Linked DNA regions of Struthio camelus. The protein of the gene in region 1 binds, or shares a complex with, the protein of each later gene. Links are inferred from orthologs where the notes say so. Each region holds a gene or a part of one and is shown in the gene's direction. Other genes may lie near its edges.

Region 1 (8,003 bases):
TCTTGGGCCCTTCGGAGGCGAGGCAGGATGTCGGTGCAGCCAGCGCCTCCCTGCCAAGACTTCTGCTCAGCCGGCTCGGCGCCTTCGCGCAGGAGCGGCAGGAGGACGGTGGCTTGCCTGCGGGCACCGGAGGTGGCAGGGAAAGCTCTGGGGGGACAAGGTGCTGAGGCTCTTCCTGCTGGCCGGCAGGACCCTGGGACAGCCCGCCCGGGCGAGCCAGGCAGAGCTGCTGGCGCAAGGAAGGGAGCGAGCCTGGCCTTGGACACCAGGTGCCTACATGGTCACCTGTGACAAGTCAGCTTGAGAGCTTAAAAGTCAGCTGAGGCTTTAAAAAAATGGAGAAGACAACAGCCATTGAATAAAAGAGGTTAAGAGTGGGAGAGGGAGCAAGAGCCTGGCTTTGCATGCCAGCACCCCTCTGCAAACCAGCCAGGCTGGTCCCCATGGATTGTCTCAGCAGCGTCTCATTCCCCATTTCAGCCCAGGTCTCCTCCAGCCACCACTCAGAAAGACACCAGAGCCTGCAGTGTCCGTGGTCCCAACAGCACTGCCGGGGACCAAACCAAGGTTTTCCAGCAAAGACTCATCTGATCAGGCCCCCCCGGCTGGACGGGGTGCACCCTGGCCACATAGGTCCTGGCTTTGGTTTGAAAGGCTCTGAGAAAGCCATGGAGAACCAGGGAATGCCTGCAGGAGAGCATCCTTCACCTCCCTCCTCTCTGCACTGGCGTCTCTGTTTGGCGTCCATGGAGGCGCTCGCTCGTTCAGGACGGGTCCTGCTCAGTCTCCTGAACGCTTCGTCTGCAGGCAAACCCTGCTGCGACCGCAGGTGCCCTGAGCACCCCTGGCCCTGGCGCTGCTCCTCTCCCCTGCAAGTGAAATGGTGCTCTGCTTGTTTGATTTCCCTTCATCACCATCAGAAAAGCAGCCAAGTAGCAGCCGATGGGGGACATTATGGTGCTTTTGAGATGCAACCAAGGAAGGAAAAAGCAGGTTTGGGTTGATGCTAATAGCAGAGAAAACCTCAGAGCAAGGAGAGTGCTTGGGAGCCACCGGGCTGTATTGCAAGCCCAAGGACCGGAGCCGGTGCTCTGCCCATGACAGGGCTTTGTGCTCTGCCCATGCCAGGGCTTTGCTCCAGGACAGCAGCACAGCTGGGCTGGGCTCCCGGGCAGGCCTGGTGGGCCCCATCCCGCCGTGGGGCAGAAAGGGGCCACATGCGGCCAAGGGCTGCGGGTGTGTGATCCAGCCTGGCTCGGCAGTGCCCGAAGTCCAGCTGAGCACAGGCAGCACCTCTAGCTACAGCCAGAGCCGCTAATAACACTTTATGGAGTTGGAGCAGAGAGGCGAGAGAGGGGGCTTCCTGTAAAAGGCTCTACTTAGCTTCTAAATCATGCCCGGGAGCTAACATTTTGCTGATTTTCACATGTCCCATTTCCCTGGGAAAGTTGGAGTTTTGCAAGCTGCCGGGCGAGCTCTCCGCAGTGTCCCTGCTGGCCTCTGGCAGGGTGGCACGGGGCTGGCCAGGCAGCCACGGGTGCTGAGAGGGGCTGGACTTCTCTCTGAGACGCTTCACACAAGCCCTGCCTGAGAACAGACTCCTCTCGGCATGGAGAACGGCTGCTGTGAGCTCCTCCAGCCTTGGGACAGCGGGGTGAAGTCACCACTAGTGACTCAGATGTTCTAGCACATGGGAAGTGATTTGCCAAGGTCAGACAACGCACCTGGACGCCTCTGCAGAACATCAGCAACGTCCTGAAAAGCCTGGCCAGGAGGCGGAGGGGGAAGCAGAGAAGAGACGAGTCGTGTCTTAGAGATGGGGAAAGAGGGCTGCACGGGAACTGGCCTGTCCGTCCGAGCCACGCCGCAGCCGGCAGAGGCTCCGATCAGGAGTCCTGAGGCTGGTGTCCTGCCCGAGCCGCGCTCCCTCCTGCAGCGCCCCGTTACCCGCGTGCGCAGCCACGCTCAGCGCACGTGCGCCCGGTAACGCGCTGCGGACGCGGCGCTCGCACGCACGGAGCCGATGCGCGTGCACCCTGCACGCCCCGCAGAGAGCAGGGCCACGCGCACGTGTGCCCCGGCTGCCTCCCACGTGCCCTGCCGCGTGCGCTGCCTTTCGCTTGTGGGGTGGCGCAGGCTCGAGCCCGCGAGCCAGCCGGCCGCCTGCGAGCAGCCAGCGCTGCACTCTGATGTGCCCCGGCCTTTGCAGGGCCAGCCCGAGCTGACAAAGTCTTTGTCAGCCAGATCTTTCAGGGAAAGCTCTTTGTTCTTCAGCGTTTGCTCCTGGCCTCCCCCTCCACAAAGCTCAACTAGATGCATCTGCTTTTGTTTTCTAAATGCAGAATTAGGGGCTGAAAAGAGCCCCTTTGTAGTGGGGAGGAGGGGAGAGCTGCAGATCTTTGACTGGGCAAGTTGAGGTCAGGGGGGAACGGCTCCTTTGTGCTGCCGGCTGGGCTCGCGCTGCTACCCTGCCCCTTCCTAGACCCGGGCCCTCATGCAAAAGTTTTGGAGACTTGGAGAAACTGCTGTGCAAGCAGTATTGGCAACATCCCACCACCAGTGCCGCTGCCGCTGCCCGGGCGGTCGGCTGCCGCCGTGGCTGGGCTGCTCGGCGATGCACATGGAGCAGGCCACCGCGAGCGAGACAGCCAGGTGCCGGGGACGGGCCGCTCGGAGCAAGGCCGGGGCGAGCAGGCTGCGGGACCAGCACCCTTGCCAGCCGCCAGCAACCCCTCCGGCTTCCTCGTCCTGGCCCCGGACAGATCTCGTCCGTGTGAGCGCACTGTCCCGGCCCCGAGGCCAACGGGATCGTTAGACCAGCACAAAGCTCTGCACGAGCGCTTGGCGCTTGGATGTCCGCGTCAGAGCCAGCCCGCGAGCACATCCGGGCTGCGCGCGGGCTCAGCCGAGCTTGGGCCGGGGCTCGGCCTGCGCGCGGTGAGCTGTTCAGCTGTCAGCGTAGCGCAGATGTGCTTTCAGTTTATCTTGGTCCTGTTCTTGATTAAGTGTAGTTGCAGTGAAACAAGCCCGGCTCCATGTGAAAATCGCATCTGCGTCGCCTCGAAAGCGTGTCACCGACGCGCAGGTGTGTGCGGGAGAGCGTGGCCCTGGGGACCGGGGCGGGCTGGATGCCCACGGAGCCGGCCCCGGGGAGCGCTCCTCTCCCCGGCCATCCTGGGGGTCTGTATGCCACCAGATGGTGACAGCTCGCGGTCACTCCTGCTCCGGAGCCCCAGTGCTGAGGCCGGGGGGCAGCGAACCCTTGAGCCTCCCAGGAGCAGGGGATTCTTGTCCTCATTTTCCGCCATCTCCGAGCACCGTAAAGGCCCACAAAGTTCAGTCTTCCGCCCCCGCGATGCAGCCAGGCAGAAAGCCATCCCCAAGGAGAGCAGCAGCAGAGGTGCGAGCCCTTCCCCTTTCCTCACAAGGACATGTTATGGCTGCAAATCCATCAGCTCCATTTCAGGGCCGACGTTATTAAGCCTGGGACAAAAGCTTAGCAGGAGGCATGGCTGCCCTGGGGGGGGGCAGGAGCCGCCCGGAGCTCTCTCAGGTCCCCGTGCAGCAAACCTGGCCCCAGCCTCGGTCCCTATAGCTAAGCATGAAGCAGGTTGGTTCCTGGCTGTCCGGGGGATGAAGAGAGCAGGGCTGGGGCTGGGGGGGGTCTCACTCCTCGGGGCAGGTGGTCCCTCCTGCAGAACGGAGCTGAGCCTGCTTCACCCGCCTGGAAATAGGAAGGTGCTCCAGCTCGCCGGGCTGGCCCTCTCCAGACAATGAGATCTGCTTCCTCCGTGCTTCCGCCTGCCCTCCTTGCCAGGTAGCCGCACCGTTCTTCGATCACCTCCTGGGAAGAGCTCGCCTGTCCGGCGAAAGAGAAAAAGCAGAGAGAGAGGAACATGCTGCCAGCCAGCACACCTACCGCCCCGCGGGCTGCAGCGAGAGGGAACCCACGCACGCAGAGACGCCCAGGCTGCCCCGCAGGCAGGCGCCCGGGGAGCCCGCCTGGGGCAAGCTGCGCATCACGGGGGCACTGGGGAACAGCTCTTCTTGCCCCATGCCACCGGCTCTCTTAGACACTCTTCCCATGCTCAACATGCCGGGGCAAGAGCATCCCGGTAGGCATGTTACCTTCCCCTCCCTCTCCCCTGTCCACACATCTGTCATCCCAGAAAAAAAATATTCAGTAGGTCTTGGCACAGCCATCTGAGCAGTTGCCTGAACCAGCAAGAGGCTGCTCCTGAAGACAGATGCCCAGCATTTGGTTCAAATATAGCTATGGTGATTGACAGGGCTAATTCAGTCTGTCCTCTTCCCTGTTATAACTTAATCACTTACACATTGCCTCACGCAGGTCTTTCACTACCAGCCAGGAGACGTCTTCATCCTGACCTACCCTGACTTTGAATGTGAGTCGGGTTTGCTCCTCTATCTGTGCTTCCTGCACGGAGGCCAAACCTTGTCACAGTCCGCATTACCCTGCGCGAGCCTGGCTTTGGGGGAGCTCGCCCGACCCGCAGAGATTGGGCCTGGGCCTGGGCCTGGGGAGGGTACAGCAGCTACAGCATATGGGAGAAAGGCTGGAGGCCTGACCAGCCGACACATGTATTGCCTGAGCACGCAGGGATCTTTCGGGGTGCTTTCCAAGTCTTCGTGCTCCGGACCTCAGTGGAGAGCTGCCCAGCTGGGCACAGCAGGGGAGGGGCAGGCTTTCCAGCAGCAGGAGTTCCTGGACGGCTCCCAGGAATGATTTGAGTCTGGCAACCCTTTGGAAAACTGCTGGCAGAAAGTGGGTGCCCCAGGCCTGGCTTCGCAGAAGGGCCAGGCTGGGGGCTCTGGGCTCCCCAGCGCGCTGCCGCCCCTGCGTGCCAGCGCGCCGCTGTCTCGGCGCCTGGTCGGCGGAGGCCCTGCCAGGAGGCCGGCGCCGCGGGACGAGGGCTCTGCCCCTGCTCCCGGCTCTGCCTCCCCCGGACGGCGGGGCTCCCGGCTCGCCGCTCTCCCGGCGCGCAGCAGCCATGAGCGAGAGAGGGGCCGAGCGCAGAAGGAAGCATCCCGCTGCGGAAGGGCCGAGCACCTCGTATGCGCAACCTGGACGGTTTTGGGGGGGGGGGGGGAACAGCCTTCGCAACCCAGCGGCGGCCCCGAGGCCCCGGGCAGGGGCCCGGCGGGGGGCGGCCGCCGGGCGGGCCGGAGCGCAGCCCGGGGGCGTCGAGGGGAGGCGGGGAGCGAGGGGGTCGGCGGCGACTACAAGCCCCAGCAGGCCGCTGAGGAGGAGGAGGAGGAGGAGGAGGAGGGCTGGGGAGGACGGCGGAGGGGAGCGCGGAGGAGGAGCCGGGGAGGAGGCGGCGGGGCGGTGCGGGAGCGGCTCAGTCCGGCGGCGGCGGGGACGCGGCGGCAGCGGCAGCGGCAGCGGCGCCCGTCGGGTCGGGTCGGGGCGGCGGCGGCGGGAGCGCCTGGGGCCGGCGCCGCCATGGGGCGGCCGCAGTGAGCGCGGCGCCGGCGGGGCTGCGCCCTCGCCCCGGCCGGGCACCCGCCATTGTTCGGTAGCGGCGGGCAGCGCGCCGCCGCCGCCCCGCGGGGCTCCGGTGAGTACCGCCGCCTGCGCCGCCCTCCCGCCGCTCGACGGCGGCCCCGGCTCGCGGGCATCGGGGCTTCGCGGGCACCGGGGGGGCTCCGGTTCGCGGGCATCGGGGCTCCTCAGGCACCGGAGGGCTCCGATTTCCAGGCATCGGGGCTCCTCGGGCGCCGGGGGGGTCCGATTTCCAGGCATCGGGGCTCCTCGGGCGCCGGGGGGGCTCCGGTTCGCGGGCATCGGGGCTCCTCAGGCACCGGAGGGCTCCGATTTCCAGGCATCGGGGCTCCTCGGGCACCGGGGGGGTCCGATTTCCAGGCATCGGGGCTCCTCGGGCACCGGGGGGGTCCGATTTCCAGGCATCGGGGCTTCGGAGGCACCGGGGAGCTCCGGTTCGCGGGCATCGGGGCTCCGCAGCGCACCGGAGGGCTCCGATTTCCAGGCATCGGGGCTCCTCGGGCACCGGGGGGGCTCCGATTTCCAGGCATCGGGGCTCCTCGGGCACCGGGGGGGCTCCGATTTCCAGGCATCGGGGCTCCTCGGGCACCGGGGGGGCTCCGATTTCCAGGCATCGGGGCTCCTCGGGCACCGGGGGAGCTCCGATTTCCAGGCATCGGGGCTCCTCGGGCACCGGAGGGCTCCGATTTCCAGGCATCGGGGCTTCGCAGGCACCGGGGGGAGCTCCGGTTCGCGGGCATCGGGGCTCCGCAGCGCAGCGGAGGGCTCCGATTTCCAGGCATCGGGGCTTCGCAGGCACCGGCGGCTCCGGTCCGTCGGGCTCCGCGGCCGGCGCTCCGCGCAGCGCGGCGGGGCGGCACGTTGGAAACGCGCCGGCCCGGGGCCCGTCGGGGGCCGCGGCCCGGGAGCCCCCCGCGGCGCCGGCGCTCCGGCAGCGCGGCCGGGCCCGAGGCCACCGCCCGGCGCGGGGCTGGCGCGGACCTGGCTCTGCCGTTCGGTGGCTTGTTTGCAAAGTTGCTGCCTAGCCGTTGTGTGCGAAGAGAAGTTCGCAAACGGGAGCCTCAAGGCTCCCAGAAGAAGATGAGTAAGGAGCCGGCACTTGCTGGGTTTTGTTTTGTTTAAGCCTCCTGATGTTGGGGCATTCCGGTGGTAACTGGGGATTGAGATGCTGGAAACAACATATCCTTAAATTGTATATTTCCTTTGTGTTTGTGAGGTGCCCATGGGGAGATGAGGAGATTCTGAGATTGTCTTTTATCAAAACTCTTTGCCAGGATCTCTGAGAGTCGTCCTTGTTCATACATGGCGAACGCTCAGAGAGTACAGCGTGCTGGCTGATGGCGTGTGCGATATTTGTCTTATCTGCTGGGATGATGTGCGTAACTAGCCGGGACTGTATTGGGTTTCAGATGGCATTTTTGGTTGTGGTATTTGTAATTTTTGCTGTTTTACCGAGTTGAGTGCAAGATCCAATCAGAGGCAGCTTGACTTATGTAACTAGCCGGCCCAGCTGAAAACACGAGTTGCGTATCCATTTGTAATGCGTTCAGGTTACACAGAGAAGTACTGGAGTCGTGGTGCGCTTCTCCTTCTCTGCCTAGATTGTTGAATAACTACCCAGCGTCTGAAGCGCTACGGCTGACTGGTACACAGTTCCTTCCGGTGAATGTTTAAACACCGAAGTGTGGTTCACCGAACTGCTTGTGTTAATAAAGCACAGAGGCTTAGAAGCTGTTCTTCTGCCCAGGTCCCGAAGCGAGTGAAATTGGAATTTGCTTTCAGACTTGAGCAGGCGGAGGCAGCGGTGCTGTGCCTGGGACTCGCTCGGCGGTGAGGGGCCGCGCGCGAGCGCTTGTGCAGAGGAGGCGGGGAGCCGTGGGGGCGCGGGCAGCGGCAATGCAGCGACCCCGCCGAGCCCTGCCGATGCTGCGGGGCCGGGAGCACGGACCCTGCATACCTCTCTGGCTAGCAGCCATTTTCCCCACACATGAGCACTTCCTTAATCTCTGCGGTGGCTGGCATGCACTATTGCCTTTTCCTTGTGTTGTTCAGGGAGGATTAAAATAAATCAGGATGGTCCCTGCCCTGACGGGGTGAAGGCAGGAGCAGTGCTCTTCCCTGCGTTGCAAAAGCAGCCTGCACGCGCATGGGTCGGTACCGGGCTTTGCTGGGTGCAAAGCGCCTGCCATGGGGAGCGCTGGCTGCTCCAGCCGTGCTGGGAAGGAGCCCAAGTTGCTTTCAGGTGCAAACTGGAGCTCCTTATTTATTTATGTGCCTAAAAATGTGAACTGCACTAGGAGCTGTTTTGGCTCCAGCCTCAGCAGGTTTTACCCTGATGCTCTGGCTCTGCAAGCCCTGGCTGCTAGAAGGGGCCGCTCGATGGAGAGTGAATTGCGATGCTCATCCAGCCCTGGCAATCCCACTTTCTCCTCAGCTTCCCAGGCCTTGCAGACCTTCTGCTTCTGGGGATGAAGGC
Region 2 (7,399 bases), on another chromosome or scaffold:
AACAACACTGGGTAAAGTCTGTGGCAAAGGTTCATGCACACACATGCACACAGGGCATCCACAGTACACACCGCTGTCCTGGTGTGTCATTATTCCAAGAATAACTACTAGAGAGGCACTCCACCCTTGTACTTCCAACATCGAAGATGTGATTGTCCCAGAGTCATTATAGTGATTTTAAGGAGGAGGGAAGAAGGGAGAAGTGTCCCTGAATCTCTGACCTCTTAGAAGAGATGCAGTGCAGAGAAAAGCGTGAAAAAAAGAGGCAGTTTCAGATTTGTCAAGCCAAATTCCCTTGCGATCTTTGAAATAGCAAAAAGCAGAAGGCTTTCTGAGGGTCATCCCAGCTACCTGGGAACAGAAGGGGCAATTCTTCCCCATCCTCACATGGCTGCCAGCCCCGGGGACAGACTGGTGAACATCTCCCTGCCCTCAGCCAGAACAGGGTTCTGCAAAATGACAAGCCACACACCTGTTTAAATATAGGTCAGCATGCTTTATTAAGCAACAACCCTACACGTGTGTCTACATGTTGAAAGGTAGTCAAACACTGTGAGGAGACACGTATTTTTATTCATAAGAGGACCTGGAAAGTAACCTCATTATACTAAGCAGGAAACTCATTTTTTAACCTGCAAATTTTTGATGGTGCATAAAGCACTTTTAAAGAGCCTGCAAAAGGTAAGTAAGAGTGAATTTCTTGTAGTAACTTATACGTGTTCAAAAAGTTTGCACTTGCCCTGTAAGTCCCCTGTAGCTGACTGAAGTGATAAGCAACGAAAGAAGGGAGTTATCTTGTTAGCAGTTGCACAAGGGAAGGTGAGCAGCTGCCAAGCTCAGGGTTTGACAGATTTGAAATCATAAGTTATGATCAAAAATGACCTGAGGCTGAAATGCAAAGTGCTCAAAATGTGGGAATTCAGAGCTCAGGCTCCTGTTACCTTAACTCAGTTCCCTTGTGTATAGTTCTGGGTATAATTTTTAGTTAAATGTTCATATTTAATTAAATTACAAAACTTCCCACCACATATTTGTCTCATTGGACACAGAAAATGATTATGTTCACTTATAGATACTTGGTATTTTGTGTCCGCTGGTCATTGTGTGCTCTGGATTAGCACTTGCAGCCCACGTGGTAGGCCCCAGTGATGAGGCATGAGCCTATCACCACTGATGCCCAGCTCCCAGATCCACCAACCCTGCCAGACCTCTGCTACCTCCAAAGCAAAGAGGACAGAGTCGGTAGGAGCAGGTAAGGGGTGATGGCCCGGCAGGGGAGGAGGGAAACAGCCTGGGAAGGTGCAGAGCATCAATCGTTTTCTCACATACATTTCAACTGCAAAGTGGTCTGATCCATCCCTTCCTCTTCAGCAATGCGGTTAAGGGAGACTTTCCTTATTGTTCATTGCTGGTGACAGCATCCACCCTCAGTGCTGCCTTTGGGCTGTCAGTGATTACCGCTACCTTTGCAGGTAGTCCTGCAGAGTCCTGTGTCCTGTGTCACCCGACCCCAGCTGTGCCATGTTTCTGAGGTGGGAAGAGGGAAATGTGGCCACCCTGATGGCAGAAAGGTCTGTATTCGGTCTCCCTTGCTAAAGGACACAGCAGTCCTTCCCTTTTCCACCAGCATGCCTCAAGATCCATGTGTATTTCAGCTGCTGTCCTCATGGCACTCACCTTGCCTCCTGTCTGCTCAAGAGGCTCCACATAGCAGGGACCAACCTGCTTCCCTGAATTATTTATTTGAATTAAGGATGTATTTAAAGAAGAATAGCAATTCTGAGGTTGATTAGACATTTTTGGTCTTCAAATTCAGTTTTTTTTTTTTCCCTCTACAAGATGCTGCACCTAATTCTTTAGGTACAGGAGACACCTAGAAAAGCTGTCTTGATTGGTCAAACATCTGAAAACAGTATAGACAAAAAAGAAATATCAACATATATGGTAAAAGTTATGAAAATATTATTGCTACTGATGCAACAGCATAAGGATATAAGAGGAATAAGGTTTTAATCGCTTTCATTAGGCTAACTTAGAGAGCTGAACAAGTAAGCAAGCTTTCATCTGCTTGGTTACTTCAGCAACAGCTGAATGGGTAGGAGAAGTTAAGTGGCATACCCACAGAAGGAATAAATGGATCAACCGGGAACAAAAACGAAATGGACTGTTAAAAAAGCATCACCAATTTGCATATAGAATTAAAGTAAAAATGTGCATTAAAAGGCAAAATTTGAATTACCATCCTGACAAGCAGAAACTTAAATAAATTTGCTTTAGCCTGTCAGCTTAAACAAACACAACTCAGCAAAGCCTGGAGTGCTACTGACCCCATGAGAAACTTGAAAATGCCAAACAATTTAAGCACCTGAAAATAGTCTGCTTGTCTGCCATATATAAAAAAAGAGAAATGGCTGGTCACAACTGGCATGTGCCGAGATGATTGAATACATTTTTCAGAAACATGAGAACTGTTTCTCTGCAGCTAAGACACCAGAGAGAAATCAGATCAGCGCATAAAGGTAAGCACAGACAAAAATCATGATGAATATGAAATATCACACCAGAAAAACTCCACTTACAAAAAGATCACAAAAACTTCCAAGAAGACAATCTATCCTGTATATGACTCTCTTGTGGAAACTTTTGCAACTGCTTCTGAGGTATCCCCATCCATATTTCCACACTAGTCTGAATGAAAGGGAGTAAAAGACCAAAAAAATTTTAGAAATCCTTGGATTCTAATACCAGACTGAAAAAAATGAATGAATAATTTCAGTACTAAGGTAGATACATCACTTAGAAAAGAAAAGAAATAATATTCATCCTTTCCTTCCAAACTAGCTTTTAAATTAAGACATTCAGATGTTACACCCAGTAAAACATTTGTAGCCTTAATTGCCTCTCAGTGAAGTCAACTTTGTTAATCTACTCCATTTAAGATATGACCCCAGTGCACTTTGCATAAAATTGCTGTCATTTACACAGGTGTATACACACTGACGTAAGCCTTTAGATTTACACAGATGTCAGAAGAAATTGGCAGAGTTTTGCTAATTTTAAACGATAAAAAAAAATCAGATCAGCTTTTGCAGTTGAATACAGTTGTAAAAATCTGTAATATGCATGGTGCTCGTGGCACTGCTCCACAGCTCACTAAGGAAACTGAGAATCTGACACCTTGTGTCCAACTAGAGACTAACTTATTTGTATATTGCTTGAAAGTACTGGACCTAAGACTGCTACAAACAAAAACCTCAAATTTATTTTTTTTAAAAAAGTGATTGACTTAGTTTTCAGTATTCTCTTCAGTTTTATATTCATTTTTGAAAGAAACTTTAGTAAAGCCTAGTTTCATAACCCGTTGTCGTCATCATCATCATCATCATCATCATTTCACCTACATAACCACTCTCCCATTAATACAGCATTTTCATAATGAAAATGGAAGCATTTTTTTAATTGGGAAATTTGTAAAACCACAGAATTCGGCAGGACAACTAAAATGTGGGTATCATATCTTAAGCCATTTTTGAACATTGCTTTGCAGTTATTACTTTTCAGTTTGGTCATGTTCTTTTGTAGTTCTTCCAAGTGTGCTTGCTATACCTCAAGTAAAAAAATGTGCCAAGATGAGCTATTTCTGTTTTGATGTGGGTCCTAGATCTACTAGCCATGCTAACATATATGACTCCTTACATGATTGCCACCTAGACTTACAGTACAGCAACAAATATGCAGCTTCTAAGCATCTTACAGGTAATTTTCAGCTGACTGGCCAACTTCAAATTATTTAGGTAACTCAAGATATCAGAAGAAATAAAAGGGAGAGCTTATTTCAAGAGGGCTGCGCTCATATCAAGCTTCTCTTGCTTAAAGGAGGTGACATAAATTTCGGTCCAACAGGCTCACTGCTGGATTTACATCACTATGAATGGGGAATCAGGCCCAGATTAACCTAATACCAGCTTCTGACACATCTTCAAAAATTTTAGCAGTATTTGGTGCTTCTGTGAAATTAGAATGTGGTTTGGAAAACCAAGGGGAAGGTGGGAATCTGAACAAACATATCTGAGAAAAAGTTCAAAGTCTAAAGGTTCGTTCCCTTCCCCTCCCAAAAGGCTTTCTATGTAGCACAGTAGACTGCTCTTCCTGGATTTAACAGTAGGGGCGTGGGAAGCTCTCAGATGTCACAGGCTTGTAGATAACATTTGAACATATGATTAGCTTTTGTGAGCTGTCTTTAGAAACCTTACATTTGCTCCCCCCCCACACCTTAGCCAGAGAACCTACGTGCTTTCCTTCCCTTGAGGTTTCGGGCCACTTAAAATGTTGCTTTGACAAAAATCAAGGATGTGGAGAAGTTTTTCCTGTGTGATGTCACTTGGCTACCCTTTATAAGCCTCTGCAAAGAAGAAAGGAGCCCATCTGAGGATTCATACTCCAAACGCAGTCAAACCAGGGAAAGAGAGAAGCAAAGAGGAGTATCAAGTTTCAGGTACAGACTAGCCACTAAGGACAGAGAGCCATGCCACAGGCCGTTCCCTACAGCTGCTTAGGGTGCATGCTGCTGGTGCTCTGCAGCCTGAAGGCTACCGCTGCCTTTCCCAACTCCTCTCCACTGCTGAATCCCAGCTGGGGGAGTGCAGATCGCCTGATGCACCTGTACACAGCTACGGAGAGGAACAGCTTCCACCTCCAAATCAACGCTGATGGCTACGTTGACGGTGTCCCGCACCAAACCATTTACAGTAAGTAGCTCATTATGGACCCCCGGTCTTCATTTGAGCAGGGAAGAGAGGACAATGGTCTTTTTTTGCCTTCTTACTAGCTATAGCAATTTCCATCCTCCTGGTTGGCAGGCAGACAGCTGCGAGATGGAAAATACACATAATTGTAATATTCCTTTTGTTTAACAAATAAACAAAATTGCTTCAAAGAAATCTAGCAGATAGGAATTCTGATTCTTCACCTTTACAGTAAGTTATGTGATTCCTGTGATACTCTGCAAGCAAAAACTACCAAAATTATCCTTCACTTCATGATTTTACCCACAGCTTCTTGTGGAAGTTCCAATGAGAGATTGGTGATGACATGTCCCAAGTATCTCCTTCTTATTCCATTGATAACATCTGCAAAAGAAGTATACTGAGTGAACTCACCACACAAGTGCTGGAAAACTGGTTTTGTCCATAAAACCTTTACTTTTGGGTAGAGAGCTGAAAAATATCTGTAGGCAACTACATCAGTACAGTTGGTCATTTCCTTTTGAGTACACCAATACTTCTCTGAATCGAAAATTAGTTTGTGAGACAAGCTTCAGATTTGTGCCTTTAATGTACTGCCTGGTAGAAACACAACTGTGCATAGAACGTGGCTCACTGAATATGCAAAGGTTGATTAAACTGGGAGAAACCGCAAAATGTCAGACTCTCATAAATGAAGTGCTAAGCCTTCGGAGTGCAGGTGTGGCTCCCAAATTGTCTCATCCTCATCTATTTTCTTGGAAAACTGGGGTATCCTCCTTTCTTTGTTGCATACCTAGCCCAAACACCATAACTAGTAGAAAAATGATCACAAGTAACAATAAATCAGAAAGTAATTTTAATTATTACTACTGTGTAGCATCTTCTTCAACTACTCAACTAAAAATATAAGCATATCCAGAGATACCTGTGTATGAGTGTATGAGGAACAAAAGACTTTTAAAAAGGTTATAATTTAATTAAGGAGAAAAAATGATCAAGTTCTGCTATTTTTTTATGAATTATGGATAAAACACTTGTAGAAAGGCTGCATCCTCTTGTTATTATTCTTCAAATATATTAGTAGGGTCTAAAAAATTCAGTCGTGTTGGTCAAGAACCAGTGTGATGGTGTAGAGAATCACAGCCAACAAAATACCATGCTTTGCCAATCTGTCATGAAGCAAGTGTACAGGTAGTTGAAATGGTAGAGCAGAAAGTGTGAGATAAGACAAGGAAAGGGGCTGTGAAAGCAAAATAACTGAACCAGGTCACCACAGTCCTGCTGAGACACCAGACACATGAGAAGTGCAAAGTTCTGCACCAGGGCTGAAATAACCCCTGGTGGTGGTACAGGCTGGAGCAGCCTCACTGCACAGACAGAGCCCTGCTGGACAGGTCCTGAGGGTTACAGGGGCACCAAGCCAAATGTGAGCCAACAGCACATTTGTCCACATTTGAGTGGAATGGTGGCCCAAAGACCCCCGGGATGGCCCTTCCAGTCAGCACTTTTGTGGATCGGTGAGGCAACAATCCAGTGCAGAACTGTGTCCTGGATTTGATATCTTTGTTTTTCTAAATAGGTGCTCTAATGATCAAATCCGAGGGTGCTAGCTATGTAATAATCACTGGAGTGAAGAGTGGACGCTACCTATGCATGGACATGAAAGGAAACATTTTTGGATCGGTGAGTGACCTTTGCTAAGACTCAAGACTGAGGCAGCTGCAGCCTGCTGTTCTTACCATAGGGCCAATTTCCTCAGCTAGGACAAATCTCTGTAGCCAGAGGCAGTGACGGAGGAGGCAGATTTAAGCCAGCTGAGAACCTGACACGTAGGTTAAACTTTCCTCTTCTTGTCAATCGTATTGAATCATAGAGCTGACAGAAGTCGTGCAAGTCCTGCTGGGCTAAATGAGGCCAGAATGAAATCTAATGGTGGATCAACCTGAATTCTTGCTGTAGTCTATAGTCGTGGCTTGGAAATAGCTCAGACAATACAATCCTCTCAGATAAAGCAGTGTTAGCCCAAAAATACCTTTGCTGTAAATATGGGCATATATATTAGTCTACAGTTTACTAAGCCTTGTCTCAGTTGTTACTGCAGAGCTAGGGGATCAGAAAGATACCTGCTGCAAGATCTCATTCTTCTTTCTGTTTTTAATTGGCACTCTTTAATCACCAAATCTCTCTGCTCACAGCTGTCATTTTTTTCCTTAAGCATTACTTCAGCCAAGAAGACTGCGTGTTCAAACACAGAACCCTGGAAAATGGATACGATGTGTACCAGTCTCCTAAATACAACTTCCTGGTTAGCTTAGGCAGAGTTAAACAAGCTTTCTTCCCTGGTATGAATCCACCACCATATTCCCAGTTCCTGTCCAGGAGAAATGAAATTCCTTTATTCCGATTCAACACACCTGAGCCCCACAGAAACACTAGAAGTGCAGATGTCGATCCAATGGATCCTCACCAGATCCTGGTGCCCCAGAGAAAGGTCTCCGCATTAGGATCCCAGCTGCAGCTGCAAGCAGACTTTTCCCACGTGCCCAGAGAACCCATGAGAATCAATCAGAATGATGTGGTCAACCCAGATGACCCACACGCTATGATGGATGCCAGGAGGCATGTGAGCCCTCGCTTCTATATTACAAGATAAT
Region 3 (7,522 bases), on another chromosome or scaffold:
ACCTGAAATCACAGGAGGATTAATATTTTGAACAATAAGATGCCCATCTCTTCCTCAGGGGGAAATCAGAGATAGAATGGTATTTAGTAAGAGTGCTAGTATTCTAGTATTTGTGGGATTCTGACGAAAATAGTGTTTGACGTATCTGCATGATGGATGTGAGGAAAATCCCAAAACTTGGCTTAGGGCAGTATTGATTAGGCTTTGATACAAAATATATCACACGTGTACATATACATATGTATACACATATACATATAGAACAAGTGATCGAACAAGTTGATTGAACACTAATTAAATCAATTAAACTAATTGACTGAAAACATCACAGAATCACAGAATGGTTTAGGTTGGAGGGACCTCTGGAGATCATCTAGTCCAACCTCCCTGCTCAAGCAGGCTCCTCTAGAGCATATTTCCCAGGATCGCATCCAGACGGGTTTTGAATATCTCCAGGGAAGGAGACTCCACTACCTCTCTGGGAAACCTGTGCCAGTGCTCAGTCACCCTCACAGCAAAGAAGTTTCTCCTCCTGTTCAGATGGAACTTCCTGTGGTTCAGTTTGTGCCCGTTGCCTCTTGTCCTGTTGCTGGGCACCACGAAGAAGAGACTGGCCCCATCCTCTTGACACCCTCCCTTCAGATACTTGTACACATTGATGAGATCCTCTCTCAGCCTTCTCTTCTCCAGGCTGAACAGGCCCAGCTCTCGCAGCCTTTCTTCAGGAGAGACGCTCCAGTCCCCCCCGCTGCTCTTTGTAGCCCTCCGCTGGACTCTCTCCAGTAGGGCCATGTCTCTCTTGTACTGGGGAGCCCAGCATTGGACACAGTACTCCAGGTGAGGCCTCACCAGGGCTGATCTACTACACAAGACTATTTTCAACTGGCTTTATGCTTGTAAATGTTTGTAAATTTGCTTGTAAACGAAGAATGGGTATTAAAACAGAAAATGGCTGTTCCAGGTGCCGAGGCCTTTTGCTCTGCCAAAGGTAGGAGTATACATGCCACCACTATAAGCCAGGTCGCTATCCTGCAGAGATCTTAAAATGAGGAGGAGGGTTGCTGCATTGAAACCAATGCATGACGTAACATCAGGAAAAGGTGTTAAATGAATCTAAATCATCAACACAGTTGCTTTACCTAAAATTGCATGCCATCAGTAATCATGGCCCCTCAGCCAAGATAGTATCCCCGAAAGTTGTTTCCTTAGGAAGGAAACAAAAGTGCTCAGTCACAACATTGTTGAATTTGATTGCATGCTGCTGCATAACTGATAAAGAAAATTTCTGAGTATAGGCTGACTGAAAATTATACTGTCACTTACCATATCCAGCATACATATTACCAGAAGTTGAGCCTTCACTAATCACTAATACAAAGAAAGCTGAAAGATAACAAATCCAAATCTGCCGGGCTGGGCTGCTGTTGTGTGCTTGCTCAGCAGGGCAGACACGATGGAGCCACGCTTTGAACTCAAGGAGCAAACAGAGAAACCTGCATGTCTGCAAGTGTTTGGCTGACCTTTCTGCATGGTTAATATTGCACAGTGTTTCTTAGACCAGAAAAAAATATATATTGGCCCAGAGCAGAGGGTGGTTGCGTTGTTCTGAAACATGAAAACAAGCTTTCTCTGTAAAGAGAAAAACAGGTAAATGGAGGTAGCGGTGCACTTTTTCTGACTTCTATACTTTAAGACCCAGTTTTCATCTGATAAACATAAAGGTGAAGTGCCAGCTTTGTGCCAGCAACTCATGGCCAGATTTCACCCCTTAAAACTGGGCTGCCGAGTTCAGGAACATACTCACTGTAGGTTCCTTGTATAGTTTTTGGAGAAGGCAGGCACCTCCAGAAGTTGACTAAGTTCTTACATAGGCTGACTCACCCTAACACTATTTCTTTCCTTTGGCTGTAGAGAGGCTCTGCAGAAAAAGAGATCCTAATGAACGTGTTTCAGTTAAGGGTCTAACTATAAATAGGATTAAACTGTGTTTTAGTTAATAATTAGCAAATTAAAAGAGAATGCATCAGGATATATTTTAAAACGTCTTTTGTCCCCAGATACCCATCAAAATTTTTTTCCCCTTAAATCTCAGTAATAGATTTGACACCTCCAAAGCCTTTTTTTTTAGGCTTAGATGTTTCTGAGATCTGCCTCTACACCAAGATTTTCAAAATACTTAGGCAGCAAGTCCCAGGCAAAGGCATTAAACTTCCACTGGAATCAGGTCAGTAGCTGAATAGGAGCCTGACTCTTCACTCCTTGCATAGGGAGGACTAGAGCAGTCCTGTTGTGTACTTAAGATTTAATCTCTAGCTTCTGCAAGTATCTACTGTGTGATGCTATCCTTAGAACAAACTTAGGACTCCGAAAGAACAAACAGAACCCAACAAGCCATACTTCAAAAGAGTGCGCAAATGTAAAAGCAAATGTACATGCACAACCTCTTAGCAAACCTCTATTTTCAACCTGCTGTGGAAGAGCAACTAATATGCTTGTGCTAATATTTTTCCTAGGGGATTGGTACACCTGAATATGGGGAGCATCTGATGTAGCCTATCTGATACTACTCATTTCCTCCTGAAAGGGCATCCATATTTCAATTTTAACACCTTTTTTGTTGCTGCAGTTGGAGCTCAAGTTATCCTTTACTTAGACTGCAATCAAATGTCACCAGCTTGTCAGACTGTAGAGCAAACACACTCCTTGCAGCGGACGATTAGCCTCTGGTGCAGTATCTGCCGCTCTCTTCCCTGCTCCCACCCCATAAACTTGCTGTGCCCTTAGTAAAAGGATGCTATTGGGCCCCTGGGCAATTTAAAACTCCATCCCTCTAACATGGGAATAAATTAATCAGAAACAATGGAAGACTACTACCATCTGGTACTCCAGATCCTTGGTCCCCTCATTAAAAACACCACAAAACAACCCAGCAGCCCCAAATCAAATCGAACTAGTGTGGAAAAGGTGAAAGCTCAAACTTCTTTAAAGACGCAAAGAAAGTGCTCTGCCGTGATTACGAAAGGTGTTAGAGCCCATCCTAGGCTCAAGAGAACACCTTTAGCACCTCAGCGTCCACTAGCAATTGGCATTTAAATCCATCCACTCATTATTAGCAATTACGTGGAGTTCTCCTCTGAGGGCACTTATTTTCTAAAAATAAAATGAAATTATCTTAATGCTTTCATTCTTTAGTTAAACAATAACTTTATCTCCTGGGAACATCTCTCTGTCCTTAACGGCCTGTCTAGTAGGTGTGTTTTATTCTTAGATGCCCCAGCTCATCCTAGGCTTCACATAACTGAATATTAAATACCAACTTTCTGCAATATTTTAAGCTAATTCTTACTTCTCAGCAGACTGAGACCTGCCTTTAAGAAGTTCACGTATCACATCCACACAAGCAGTTAACAGACATAACTAAATAATTAAACTTAAACACACAGCTTTTTTTCTTTTTTTTCTTTCTGCTCCCCATGAGGATCTGCGAGGCCTTTCTAATTGAAATTTGTTTTGCATGCAGTAAATAACCAAATATACCAACCTGCAACTCCAGAAAAGAAAAGGCGGTGTCAGTTGGAGGTGACAGCTTACGAATTATTGTGTGTGGGGGGGGGGTGAGAGCGTACGAAGTCCCCAGTCAATGATTTCGTTTTCAACCATTATTGCATGCCTACAATTATTTAATTATTAATGCATGACGTTTTAAATTATTATTGCAGCTGCGACGTCCCTCGACCCGGCACCACGAAGGAAAGACTGGAGTATGGGGAAAAAAAAAAACCAAAAAAATCCAAAAAGCAGCAGCCGCAGGCTTTGGATCACCCCGCACATACATGAAGCCACGCAGCAGCTCGGCGGGGTGGGGTGGGGTGGGGTGGGGGGGGGGGGGGGGCCTCCAGGAAAGTTTTCCAGGAATTTTTTGGCCGGCCGCCTGCCCGCCGCTCTGTGCCGCGGGCAGCTCCCCGGCGGCGGCGCCCCGGCCGCGGGACAGCTCCCGGGCGCCGCAGCGCTTGCCGCTCCGGCCATCGGGTGGGCTCAGCCAAAAAAAAGCTGTTTTGAGCGTTTCAGGGGCCGCTGGCGAGGTGGCGGGGGCGGGGGGGGGGGGAGAGAGCCCGAGCAGGTACCTCGGGACGGGGCGGGCTGACGGGCTCTGCGCCCTAGAGGGCTGCGGGTGGCCGAGGCGGCCCCGAAGGGGAGACAAGTTGCTCCTTCCCCCGAGGAAACCCCCCCGCCGCCGCCCTCCGCTCCGCTCTCCTCGCCTCCCCCCCCGCCCCTCCTCGATCCCGCCCCCGCAGCCGGCGCTCCCCAAAGGCGGGAGCCCGCTCCCCCTTGGCCGGGCGGGCAGGCTGGCGACGGCAGCTCCGAGGTAATCATTAATAGCCGTGCCCACCGGCGGGGGGAGGGCGGAGGTGAGGATAAAAGGGGGCCGGGGGGGGAAGGTGAGGAGGGGCGGGGAGCGGGGCGGGGGGCTGAGCGGAGGGAAGGCGCCGTCGCGGAGCCCCGCCGCCGCCCGCCGGCATGGCCCCCTGCGCGCCGCCGCCCGCGCTGCTGGCGCTGCTGGCGCTGCTGCTGGGCCGCCCGCTGCTGGCGGTGCCGGGGCAGGGCGCGGGCACCTGGGCGCGCTTCGCCCGCCTGCCCTACCCGGAGGACCAGCTCTTCCTGCACGACACCTTCCCCGAGGGCTTCCTCTGGGGGGTGGGCAGCGCGGCCTACCAGACCGAGGGCGGTTGGCGCCAGGGCGGCAAAGGCGCCTCCGTTTGGGACACCTTCGCCCACCGCCCGCCCGCCGCCCGGCCGCCGCAGCCCGCCGGCGGCGACGTGGCCAGCGACAGCTACAACAACCTGTTCCGCGACGCCGAGGGGTTGAGGCGCCTGGGGGTCTCCCACTACCGCTTCTCGCTGGCCTGGGCCCGCTTGCTGCCCAACGGCACGGCGCCCCTCAACCCCGCCGGGCTGGCCTACTACAGCCGCCTGCTGGGCCACCTGCGGCAGCTGGGCGTGGAGCCCGTGGTCACCCTCTACCACTGGGACCTGCCGCAGCGCCTGCAGGACGCCTACGGCGGCTGGGCCAGCCCCGTGCTGCCCGAGCTCTTCCGCGACTACGCCGAGCTCTGCTTCCGGCATTTCGGCGGGCAGGTCCGTTACTGGCTCACCATGGACAACCCCTACGTGGTGGCCTGGCACGGCTACGGCACGGGGCGGCTGCCGCCGGGCGTGCGGGGCGGCCCGCGGCTGGGCTACAGGGCGGCGCACCACCTGCTGCAGGTAAAACGGCGGCGCGGTGGGAGGGCGGGGGAAGGGGCTCCCCCACCATCTTTGGGGCCTTCTTCTCCTCCTTCCGGAAGGTGCCGTGCTGCCCCCCAGGCGGCGGTGAGAGCGGCACCCTCAGGTGGTGCCAGCTCTGGGCCTGTGGGAAGCTGCCCTCAGGCTGCTCCGTGCCTTTGACAGCCACTAAAGTAAAGGGGGGGAAAAAAAGGCAAATTAATATGAAGTGAGCATCAGAATTAAACATCCATTCTGTTCCCCTTTGGAGCGGGTAGCCTTTTCAAGGGGTTAAAGACGCCTTAGGCTCATAAATTGGAGGCGCAAACTTTGTAGTTGCAGTTCCCTCAACTTAATGCAAACACACCGAATTAAAATGTTCTTTGTATACTGCAGAAATGTTTAATTTTGGTCTCCCGACATTTGTGAATGCGATTCTGGACGTTTGAGTTCAGACCAGTGCTGGTTCCAGCCTCCGCTTCAAGTTGCTGTGGAAATTTTAAATACAACTGTAAAAAGAATTCATGTGTTTGATACAAAAGTCTGGTTGAATTAACGGAGGTGGTGGAGGTGGCTGAAACGTCTTACCAAAAATATTTCTTAACAGAGTAGGATTTTTCTGGACAAAGAGAACATTTTTTGGGGGGGAAACAACCCTGTGTTCCCCAGCTAGGCTAGTAAGTCTCATAACTTTTTTGTTATAAGTATTTTTTATGTAATTTACTTATATATGGTATATTTGTAAGGTTTGCTGGAAGCACTTGTCAGAATTAAGCAAAAGTGTGTGCAAATCTTTTTCACTGACTGAGTAAAAGATTCAGTATGTCTCACTGGAGTGGTATTTAGTTACAGCTCTTAAGAAATAATCTATTTTACCTGAATGCACATTCCTAAACTCTGCTAGTGTTCATTTGCTCAATATATGCTTACTGGCAAGCGTATTGTTCTCCTGAGTGAGTATCGTATATGAAATGAGAACGCTGATAAAACATCCAACTCATGGCTTAGTCAACTTTTGCCTCTTTTATGCATTAACTTTGCATCATTTAGTGTTAAAAGTGTTTCAAGACAAAATAGAGGGGTGTACATGGGTGTACACATGGATGTAATTTGAACAGGGGTAGCATTTCAGATGGCACTTAAATTCCTGGTGCTGAAACCTTTAAACTCTTAAGCAGTTCTTAGGATGTACTTGACTGAGTTTGATGCCGTGACTGTACAGTTCACTGAACTGAATCTGCTTCTGAGTGAAGGTACTCCTAAACTTAAGCATTTGCAGTATTAGCCCCAAATTTTGCAGCAAGACTTTGTCGCCTATCAGTGATCATTACACTTTTCAGAAAATCTCTAAATAGTTACTCACAAATTATTTGCTATACTTGCATAGTTATTCTGAAATCAGTGGGACTGTGCACAAGGGTAAGGGCTGTAGACTCGGTGCCATCGGTGACAAAATCTTGGGAGCTGAAGTTTTATTTCTCCGACTTTGTATAGATCATATGCAAAAGAAATCAGTAAAGCTGCAAATCTGAGCTCTCGGACTGTCAAAAGAAAGCTTACCTTGCAATTCTTACTTCAGCTCTGAGAGTCATAGGCATGCTGACTTGGACTTTTAATGTTGTCTGTCACTTTATTTTCTTTCTAAAGCCTCTCCTCTGCTGTGCAAAATGGACAAGTGATGAGTACCAATTCAATATTCTGTGTGGTTCTCCCCTCCACCTGGTTGTTCGGTTTGCGGCTTCGGGTCTGAATACAGGGCTCTGAAAACAGATAACTAAATGTAATGGTTATTTTCTCCATGAATTTTCCACAGTGCTGTTTTTCCCGAGTATTTATATCTCACATCACCATAGTATCTGAGCGCCTCCTAATCTCAAGCATATTCTTGTTCTCACAAAAGTCCTATGAAGAAGGGAAGTGCTTTCTTCCAATTTCATAAATGAAAAACTAAGGCACAGACTTTCATAAGGCATATAGAAAGTATAAGAAATTAGACCAGGAAAGTCTACTATAACTATTTTAGTGACATAATCTCTGAATCAGTCTTCTTCTAGTGACTATCATTTCATTTTTTTCACAAACAGTGATCATTTCTTTTTACACAGCTCTGTAAGGTAGGAGGTATCATTTTTTCCACATTTGACAAATGAGGAACCGAAAGACAGAGGCAATTAAGGTCAAAAGTATCCACTAATTGTTGGTGCCCTCTTCCTGGCATGTGATTTTTGGGCAGTTATACATTCAGCTCTTCTGCTGGTTG

The links.
Region 2: the proteins of FGFR1 (region 1) and FGF23 are in contact, whole or in part, in a cryo-EM structure (PDB 7YSH), measured with the Homo sapiens proteins. The link is inferred for Struthio camelus from reciprocal best matches to the Homo sapiens genes FGFR1 and FGF23. Residues at the interface, in NP_075598.2 of Homo sapiens: Glu159, Lys160, Glu162, Lys163, Lys164, Leu165, His166, Ala167, Val168, Pro169, Lys172, Gln244, Asp246, Val248, Glu249, Arg250, Ser251, Pro252, Val279, Tyr280, Ser281, Asp282, Pro283, Gln284, Pro285, His286, Ile287, Ala314, Gly315, Val316; in NP_065689.1 of Homo sapiens: Leu31, Leu32, Gly33, Ser34, Trp36, Gly37, Tyr43, Ala45, Thr46, Ala47, Arg48, Asn49, Ser50, His52, His66, Ile75, Arg76, Ser77, Glu78, Asp79, Ala80, Gly81, Val83, Val84, Tyr93, Phe108, His117, Gln118, Thr119, Asn122.
Region 3: the proteins of FGFR1 (region 1) and KL are in contact, whole or in part, in a cryo-EM structure (PDB 7YSH), measured with the Homo sapiens proteins. The link is inferred for Struthio camelus from reciprocal best matches to the Homo sapiens genes FGFR1 and KL. Residues at the interface, in NP_075598.2 of Homo sapiens: Asn272, Gln288, Leu290, His292, Ile293, Asn296, Gly301, Pro302, Leu305, Pro306, Tyr307, Val308, Gln309, Ile310, Leu311, Lys312, Glu322, Leu326, His327, Leu328, Arg329, Asn330, Glu334, Asp335, Thr340, Leu342, Leu349, His351; in NP_004786.2 of Homo sapiens: Ser539, Gln540, Phe541, Asp543, Leu544, Asn545, Val546, Tyr547, Leu548, Trp549, Asp550, Val551, Lys555, Arg556, Leu557, Val560, Val563, Thr565, Lys566, Arg568, Tyr571, Val573, Ala576, Glu625, Arg628.

The regions. Positions count from the first base shown.
Region 1 is NC_090968.1:7,231,284-7,239,286, reverse strand, and holds the start of FGFR1 (fibroblast growth factor receptor 1), read left to right. Parts: upstream 1-4,997; 5' UTR 4,998-5,012; coding exon 5,013-5,074; intron 5,075-8,003. UniProt on the Homo sapiens protein: Tyrosine-protein kinase that acts as a cell-surface receptor for fibroblast growth factors and plays an essential role in the regulation of embryonic development, cell proliferation, differentiation and migration.
Region 2 is NC_090942.1:84,397,694-84,405,092, reverse strand, and holds the start of FGF23 (fibroblast growth factor 23), read left to right. Parts: upstream 1-4,388; 5' UTR 4,389-4,525; coding exon 4,526-4,748; intron 4,749-6,324; coding exon 6,325-6,428; intron 6,429-6,960; coding exon 6,961-7,398; 3' UTR 7,399-7,399. UniProt on the Homo sapiens protein: Regulator of phosphate homeostasis. Inhibits renal tubular phosphate transport by reducing SLC34A1 levels. Up-regulates EGR1 expression in the presence of KL. Acts directly on the parathyroid to decrease PTH secretion. Regulator of vitamin-D metabolism.
Region 3 is NC_090942.1:198,396,311-198,403,832, reverse strand, and holds the start of KL (klotho), read left to right. Parts: upstream 1-4,511; 5' UTR 4,512-4,518; coding exon 4,519-5,265; intron 5,266-7,522. UniProt on the Homo sapiens protein: May have weak glycosidase activity towards glucuronylated steroids. However, it lacks essential active site Glu residues at positions 239 and 872, suggesting it may be inactive as a glycosidase in vivo.